Linked DNA regions of Callithrix jacchus. The protein of the gene in region 1 interacts with the protein of each later gene in a biochemical or structural test. Links are inferred from orthologs where the notes say so. Each region holds a gene or a part of one and is shown in the gene's direction. Other genes may lie near its edges. The genes, in order: PNN and RNPS1.

Evidence for each region.
Region 2: the proteins of PNN (region 1) and RNPS1 form a complex in vitro, tested with the Homo sapiens proteins (3 studies listed by BioGRID and IntAct). The link is inferred for Callithrix jacchus from reciprocal best matches to the Homo sapiens genes PNN and RNPS1.

Annotation. Positions count from the first base shown.
Region 1 is NC_133509.1:73,851,748-73,856,170, forward strand, and holds the start of PNN (pinin), read left to right. Parts: upstream 1-1,545; 5' UTR 1,546-1,571; coding exon 1,572-1,684; intron 1,685-2,354; coding exon 2,355-2,426; intron 2,427-2,807; coding exon 2,808-2,876; intron 2,877-3,692; coding exon 3,693-3,765; intron 3,766-3,873; coding exon 3,874-3,968; intron 3,969-4,119; coding exon 4,120-4,195; intron 4,196-4,423. UniProt on the Homo sapiens protein: Transcriptional activator binding to the E-box 1 core sequence of the E-cadherin promoter gene; the core-binding sequence is 5'CAGGTG-3'. Capable of reversing CTBP1-mediated transcription repression.
Region 2 is NC_133513.1:4,512,693-4,516,693, forward strand, and holds the end of RNPS1 (RNA-binding protein with serine-rich domain 1), read left to right. Parts: intron 1-139; exon of another isoform or gene 140-1,746; intron 1,747-1,767; coding exon 1,768-1,909; intron 1,910-2,546; coding exon 2,547-2,646; 3' UTR 2,647-3,415; downstream 3,416-4,001. UniProt on the Homo sapiens protein: Part of pre- and post-splicing multiprotein mRNP complexes. Auxiliary component of the splicing-dependent multiprotein exon junction complex (EJC) deposited at splice junction on mRNAs.

The DNA of each region.
Region 1 (4,423 bases):
ATTTGTATATTTATAGAAGCAAACCATTTCCCACATTGGCAGTGCAGGTAGGGTAGAACACACACAGATCCCATTAACAATGGGGCCGCTCCCTTAGGCCTGGTCTTTTTTTTTTTTTTTTTTTGAGACGGAGTTTCGCTTTTGTTACCCAGGCTGGAGTGTAATGGCGCAATCTCGGCTCACCGCAACCTCCGCCTTCTGGGTTCAGGCAATTCTCCTGCCTCAGCCTCCCGAGTAGCTGGGATTACAGGCATGCGCCACCATGCCCAGCTAATTTTTTGTATTTTTAGTAGAGTCGGGGTTTCATCATGTTGACCAGGATGGTCTCGATCTCTTGACCTCGTGATCCACCCGCCTCGGCCTCCCAAAGTGCTGGGATTACAGACTTGAGGCACCGCGCCCAGCCTAGGCCTGATCTTAACCAGCTCTAGGCCAGGTGAAGAGGCTAACTCAATTATGACTGCCTGTCTGTCTTCCCACTCCCCATTGCTTTCTTTTCAGATGCTCAGGGTCTAATCAGAGACTAATTCTCAACTGGTGTGACCCAGAGACAGTTACATTATCTCATAATTTCCTTATCAGTAGTAACAGGCATTTTAGTCTCACTTTTAGTTTGTGAGGAATAAGGCATGTAGAAGGTTTCACAGAGGGTCTGAAACAAAACCAACTCCTAACAAATGTTAGCCATTATGATTAATATTTTTCCTAGTTTTTATTTTTGTCTTCCCTCTGCTCAATTTAACCTAATCAGGCCGGGAGTGGTAGCTCAGGCCTGTAATCTCAGCACTTTGGGAGGTCAAGGCGGGCGAAGATCACCGGAGGTCGGGAATGCGAGACCAGTTTGACTTAACAGGGAGAAACTCCGTCTCTACTAAAAATACAAAATTAGCAGGACGTGGTGGCGAATGCCTGTAATCCCAGCTACTCGGGAGGCTGAGGCAGAAGAATCACTTGAACCTGGGAGGCGCAGGTTGCAGTGAGCCGAGACAGCGCCATCGCACTCCAGCCTGGGCGACAGAGCAAGATTCCGTCTGAAAAAAAGAAAACCTAACGGAGAAAAGCACGCGCCCGCCCCCTCTCTGAGCATGCGCACCAACAGAATAGCCGCGCCCTTCCCTAATTAAATCATTAACCAAGGTGAGGGGAAGGAGGAAAAGGAGGCTTGGCTGAGTCCTCCCATGGTGTGATTAGGTTAAAACGAAGTAAGGTACATTACATCATAGGTTAAAATGCGTGGAAAACTCCGCGCTCCCCTTGCCAGAACTGCATGCTCGCGAGCCCAAGTCTCCGAGAACTCAGGGATTGTCAAACCCGCCCCGGCTCTGCGCTAGCGGCGAGATTCAGGCATCGGCAGCTAACTGGGGAGGGAGATTACTGCCTAGCCGACTTTTCATTGGCCCAGAGTCACAAAGGTTGCCGTTTCTCCCCCTTCCGGTCGCTGAGTGGTTGAGGCCGAAAAACAACGCTCATCGTCATTGGCTGATCCGGGCTGTCAGTCCTTTCTCGTCTCGGCGGCGCGGCACAGCCCGGCGCGGCCTGTAGAGCAGTCGCAAGTCTGCTGCAGGGAGAAGATGGCGGTCGCAGTGAGAACTTTGCAGGAACAGCTAGAAAAGGCCAAAGAGAGCCTTAAGAACGTGGATGAGAATATTCGCAAGCTCACCGGGCGGGATCCAAATGACGTGAGGTAAGAGCCTAACGGGAACTTGGACTCGAAGACGCAGCCCAGGTCGGGGTGAATTGGGGGTGGGGAAGGAGGCCAGTCTTCAGAAGATTGGAACCTCGAGGCCTGTTCGCTGTGCGGCGGTAGAACCCTGTACTCGCTGAGGTGGAGAGGCCCCAGGCCCCACAGGAGAGCCCTGGTCTCCGGTCCTTGAGGAAGGAGAGCGAGACCAGGGTGCGTCGGCATGTTTTCTCTGCCTGTGAGAAGATCTGGACTGCTGATTCCCGCCCTCGGCCCTGCAGGCCCGGAACTGCAGCACAAAGCCCCTTACCGCTCCGGCGTACACCCAGCCCGGGGCTGGCCCCGAGACCCTGCCAGGACGCGACTTGCCGTCTCACCCCTGCCTCATGCCCACGTGCAGCTTGTTCCGGGATGGCGGGATGGGGACCTGATCCAGGGTTGTTAATGTGAGGGGGCATTGAGGTGAATATAATTTCTGTGATACGGGTCCTGGAGAAACGAGGAAGTTAAATGAAATGGTACTTTTTGTCCTGTTTCAGACACTTGGATTTATTTGAAACTATCTTTCTGGAACTTTCGTGATTTTCTCCTTAGGATCCACATCTCTGAAAGTATGTGGTGCAACCAGATATGTCTACATAGGATCTTGTACTGATTTGTAAATCTCTTACAGGCCCATCCAAGCCAGATTGCTGGCCCTTTCTGGTCCTGGTGGAGGTAGAGGACGTGGTAGTTTATTACTGAGGTAAGATTTCCCTTGGACTTTACTCATGCTGAAACTATTGGTACTTTTCTATACTAAAGATACTGCTTTGAACAAAACTTGTGATAAAGTCAATAACCCAGTGTTTGTCTTTGTTCTGTTTAATGCTTGTGACAGATTAGTTTTCTTTGTAAATAAATATAGTTACCCTGAAAAACTAGAAGTTGAAGAATATATTAAGTGTACCAGTTTTGTGTGAACTTAATTCTTATAGTTTAAAGTAACACTATAAAAGCATTTTGGAATGAATGCCCATTGTTAGTTGGAAAGATTTTTAAAAGTTCATACCATATTCTCTTGTCAAATGGAAATACCATTTATCTTGTATTTCAAGTGCTTTATGTTGAACATTTTTAATTTCAGGCGTGGATTCTCCGATAGTGGAGGAGGACCCCCAGCCAAACAGAGAGACCTTGAAGGGGCAGTCAGTAGGTAGGTTTTTAAAAAAAAGATTCCTGAAGGCCTCTTTAGTTTTTGAGGTAGCACACACATAAAAATATTTGTTAAAATAATAATGTTGTTTGAGCAGTATTAGAATTGAGTAGCATACCACTTTCCCCCCAAGTTCTCTTGGTATTTGCCTGAACTGAGACAGCCAGTATCCCTCAAAACACAGTTCTGCACGCATGATAACCCAGATTTTATCAAAATAAAGGTCATGTGAAAATTAAAATTGGAAAGAATGTCAGTTAGTACCATTTTTTCTGACTTGTACTTGAAAATTTTAACCAGCTTGAAATAGTTAAAAAAGACAGGAGAACAAAGTTGTTTTGGGCATTAATTTACATATTTTATCTTATCTCTGCTGGATGAAAGAATAAAATGGGGTGGAGGCTTAATAGAACAAAGCTTCTGGAAACTAATCCTAGAAATAGAGGACATTTGCCCTTGGTGGGCAGTTACATAAATACTTCAGTGGTCATTTAAATTAATTTTTGGCCAGGCACAGTGGCTCATGTCTATAAGCCCAGCACTTGGGGAGGCCAAAGCTGGCAGATTGCTTGAGCTGAGGAGTTCAAGACCGACCTGGGCACATGGTGAAATCTCATCCCTACAATAAGTACAGAAACGTTGGCCATGCATGCTGGCTCCTGCCTGTATAGTCCCAGCTACTTGGGAGGCTGAGACGAGAGGAACACCTGAGCCCAGGAGGTCGAGGCCACAGTGAGCCATGATGGCGCTACTGTACTTCACCTTGGGTGATATAGTGAAATCCTGTCTCAAAAAAATTAATTTTTTCTAAAATAGGCTGGGCGGGGAGCGTCGGACCAGAAGAGAATCACGCCAGGAAAGTGACCCAGAGGATGATGATGTTAAAAAGGTATTGAAATTGAAAGGACTTAAATGAATATGGTACTTTCACTTTATTACATTTAAAAGCATACCACCCGTATTCTAGTTAAATTACTGAGATTTTCTTTTTCTGCAGCCAGCATTGCAGTCTTCAGTTGTAGCTACCTCCAAAGAGCGCACACGTAGAGACCTTATCCAGGATCAAAATATGGATGAAAAGGGAAAGCAAAGGTATCCTTCTGGGGGAAAAAATACTGTGGAATAATGTAGTTATAAGAAAAATCAAGGGATTGTTCAAGTGCCCTGTAGTATTTCTTAGAAAATGATGGGTTTAAATGAAATAGATTATGTTGACGTTAAATTTTTTTATTCTGTTCTTTAGGAACCGGCGAATATTTGGCTTGTTGATGGGTACCCTTCAAAAATTTAAACAAGAATCCACTGTCGCTACAGAAAGGGTATTTATCCAGGTTTTGTTTTATATCATATATTGAAGTTGTCAGAGTAGTAGATTAACATTTTTTGAAAAAAGCCTCAAAGCTCTTTAGAGACTTAATTGTGGCTCAGCATGGTGACTCATGCCTCTATTCCCAGCACTTTGGAGGCCGAATTGGGTGGATCACGAGGTCAGGAGTTTGAGACCAGTCAGTCAGCATGGTGAGACCCTGTCTCTACTACTAAAAATA
Region 2 (4,001 bases), on another chromosome or scaffold:
ATAGCTTACCTGTTTTTTTCAGTAATTGCCTTTGAGCTCTGGTAGAGTTTACACATCAGGAAGGTTTCCTTGACACTTGAGTAACTTCTCTTTCAAGTTACTTCAGTCCTGAAATAGGCTGGGAGCTCTGTGTACTCACCTCAGCTTTCGGCCTTGGGAGCCACACCTTTGCTTTGGAGTCTGCTGATTTTCTGCTATTTTGACAGTCTGAGCACTTGCTGAGCTAAAAACCAAGGGGATCCGGGTATCTTATAGGTGGGCATGACTATAGACATTCCAGCTTTTCTTAAGATTCTGCTAGGATTTTTGTGTGTGTCCCCGTACTGTCATTGAATGGAGTGAGTCCACGCTGTGTCCAAGAGAAAATGAGCAGGGGTTGGCCTTCACTGGTAGCTAGACAGAAGACAGATTTTTCTTCATTCTAGAGTCAGTGCTGTGAAATCCCTAATTTGGGCTAACTTAGGCTGAGTTTATTGAAGTTAAACCTCTTAAGTATGTTCTGAATATGTATCTACGTGCCCAAGTTAGTACCCCATGCACTTTGAAGGTGCCTTGAAGGTGGGAACTGAGAAGACAAAAGAGCCCTTCACCCTTTAGGGCACAGAAGGGGCTGCGCTTGGGTTCCTGGTATCCCCAGCTACCGGACAGTTCTTGAGGTTGGGACACATGCTGCCCTGGGGTTCCTGGGTTTGCACCTCCGTTTCCTTTCCTCTCTCCCTGGAGCCCTTCTCCTCACTTCTTGCCACCCCATTGCAGCACATGACCTGTGTTTCAGTGCCGTTCACATTCAGAGAGCCGCCTCTCAGACTGCTTGTTTCCAAACACAGTTTCACAGTTCGTGAAACTTCCTTCATGCTGCTCCCCACTGGAGTCCCACCTCTCCACGAATGGAAGCTCATCTTGACTGTCCCTCACCACCTCATCCCGTCCACCAAGCTTGGCAACTTCACTTCCCAGTTAGCCCTGAATCCTTTCCCTTTCCTACCATTTCATTTGATGATGATTCATGCCCCTCAGTTGATTCATGCCACAGAGCCCTGCTACCAGGTCTCCCCTTCTCCTGGCCCCTTTGTAGGAGAAGGTAGCGCAAAGGTAGATAGCACCTGCAATGCCCTGCGAGGAGGCCCCACCCTGACCCTCCTTCCTTCTGCCTGTCACTTGCTCTCGCTGCTGCCTTCTCTCACAGCACTGTGGGTCCTTCACAGCGCAGGGCAAGGCATATATCCCTTCTCTTCCACCTAGTGGATTTCAGCACTTTTTCTTCCTTTTTTTTGAGACAAACTCTCTCACTCTGTTACCCAGGCTGGAGTGCAGTGGTGTGATCTCAGCTCACTGCAACGTCTGCCCCAGGTTCAAGACATTCTCAGCCCCGCAAGTAGCTGCAATTACAGACGTGCACCACCACACCTCGCTAATTTTTTGAATTTTTAGTGGAGAAGGGGTTTCACCATATTGGCTGGTGTGGAACTCCTGACCTTGTGATTTGCCCGCCTCAGCCTTTCGGTGCTGGGATTACAGGGCTGAGCACTGCGCCTGACCTCCAGCACGTTCTTTAGCTCTTGGCCTGCGTCAGTTTAGATGTGGGAGGATGCCTTGACACCATCGGTGTCTCCTTTCATGTTCCCTGACGCCTTTCCTCATGACATGGTACTCATGACGTTATTTCTGTGATTAGTCATTGTCCCCCAGGCCTGTTGTTCACTGTGACATGCTTTGTGTAGGGAGATGCTTGCTAGATATTTTATGACTTGCTCTCTTTTTCAACAGGACAAATTGATGGCCAGGAGATCACTGCCACCGCTGTGCTGGCACCCTGGCCTAGACCACCCCCCAGGCGATTCAGCCCTCCCAGGAGAATGCTGCCGCCACCACCCATGTGGCGCAGGTCTCCCCCACGGATGAGGAGAAGGTAAACAAAGTGTAGTTTCAGTGAACTGATCAGGCCACAAACCTCATGTGACCGCAGTGACTTAGGGACCCTTTATTCAGCCCTGCCTGCCTTCTGCTGCTGTGTGGGTTAGGGGTAGCAGAGAGTAGTAGCCCTTCAGAGCTCATGGGGAAAGCAGGACGGGCACGGCTGCAGTGAGCAGCAGGCAGGAGAGGCCCTAGCGTGCACCAACACAACTTTCTAAGTCTGAGCAGTGACGTGGCATGACGTGGCCTTCCCAGGAGACCGTTAGACCTGTGAGCCCAGGTGCAGGCCCACTTTTTTCTGAGCTAACAAGAAGGGCTAGGAGAGGAGGAAGTTGGGTGTCAGAGGAGTTGGTGGGAGGTGGGGGTGGTAATCCCTTGCCAAAGGCCACAGTTTGGCCTTCTCTTGCCAGTCGTGAGCTATGCTTTCAGCCTTTGGGGAAGAGGAAGGAAGCCTGGGCTTCTGCCTTGGGTCTCATGAGCACCCATTCCCAAGAGCTCAGGGGCAGGCCCATCAGGTGGGACCTGTCCCAACTTCTAGTACCAAAAAGTAAAACTGTGGAGAATTGCCCAGAAAGAAGCTAGCTTGCCCTACAGTCTGAACTCCTCTGATGTGGTTTCTCCTCTTCCTGCAGATCCCGCTCCCCAAGGCGCAGGTCCCCTGTGCGTCGGCGATCACGCTCCCCAGGCCGCCGCCGCCACAGGAGCCGCTCCAGCTCCAACTCCTCCCGTTAAGCATGCCACTGGATCTCTCACCCCTGTAACTTATACCCCACCCAGCTCAGTTTTGTCACTTTTCTAGCCAAAGGAAGATCAGTAGGAAAGCAAACCCCCTCACTTGGGCAGGCATTGCAGGCAGCAGGCAGCACCCCTCTGCCGACTGGGCTCTGGCTGCAGAAGTGCCGTTGGTGTGTGTTGTGCCTGCCAAGATACCCGCCGAGTTTCTGGCTAGAAAGCTCACCCATTTTCAGTTTCTGAGAGTCAGTTCAGTGACAGAGCCACCAGGGATGAGTGAGGCTCTGGGGGAGTTGTGTGATCTGCCTGCCTGGGAGCACACATTTCCCACAGTGTCCTTTTGAAAAGGGAGCTGTCCTGGGCTTTAGCGCAGCTGCCAAGCCTGTTAGGCCTGGCCTCTCAAGGCCTCTTCTGACACAGGGTCACACAGCCCTGGAGAGCCTCTCACCCACGGTAGTCGCTGTGCATGGTTCTCTCTGTCTGCACCCATGCACACACCCCACCCCATCGCCCTACTGTGAAACTGATGAGTGAGTTGAGAGCCAGCTTTGCTGGGTCACCATGCAGCCCCCGCTGTGCCTGCCCTTCAGGTTATCTTGGCAACATGTACATTGCTTTTTTTTTTTTTTTTTTTTGCTTTTATTGTACAGTCAGTACTATAAAATTTGTTTGAGTTTTAAAACTTTGTAGCATTTTAGATGACACTGTGTTTGTACTTTGTTGTGTAGAGCGGAAGAATTGTGTTAAATAAATGCAGGAGTGGAATGCAGGTCTAGTACTGGGTTCACTGCCTTCTCACTGCTCCCTCGCCCCCTTGGTAGCTTTCTGTTACTCGTGATCCACAGTGGCACCTCCAGTGCTTTCAGGCAGGAGAACCTAGGGTTTGTGTGCTGTGGGTATTAGGTTGCCCCTATGGTGGACAAACAGGAGAATGAGGTGTTTTATTACCTTCTCTGAAGCTGGAACTTCTACCCGACCGGAAACATGAAGAGAGTGTGTGTGGGGAGGGGGGTAAATATTTCGTAGCAACGGGGTGTTGCTGTGTTGCCCCTTGGTCCTGAGTCACTGGGATTACAGGCATGTGTCGCCATGCCAGGCTTGCGTCGCCATGCCAGGCTTGCTTCCTCCTCCATCAGGGGGCCATTTCTCCACCTCAGAAATTGGTTTGGGACACAAGGAAGAATCTTAAATGCTTAACATCTTAAGAACCAAAGTTGAGACCACTGAACACTGCTTGGGACCTCACTGCCCGGTGCTCCCAGTGGTCGGACCAAGACCTCACCCCAGACAGTACAAAGGCCCACTCCCTAGCCCCGTTCGCGGCCCAGCGGGAACACACCCTGTTCTTACCCTTC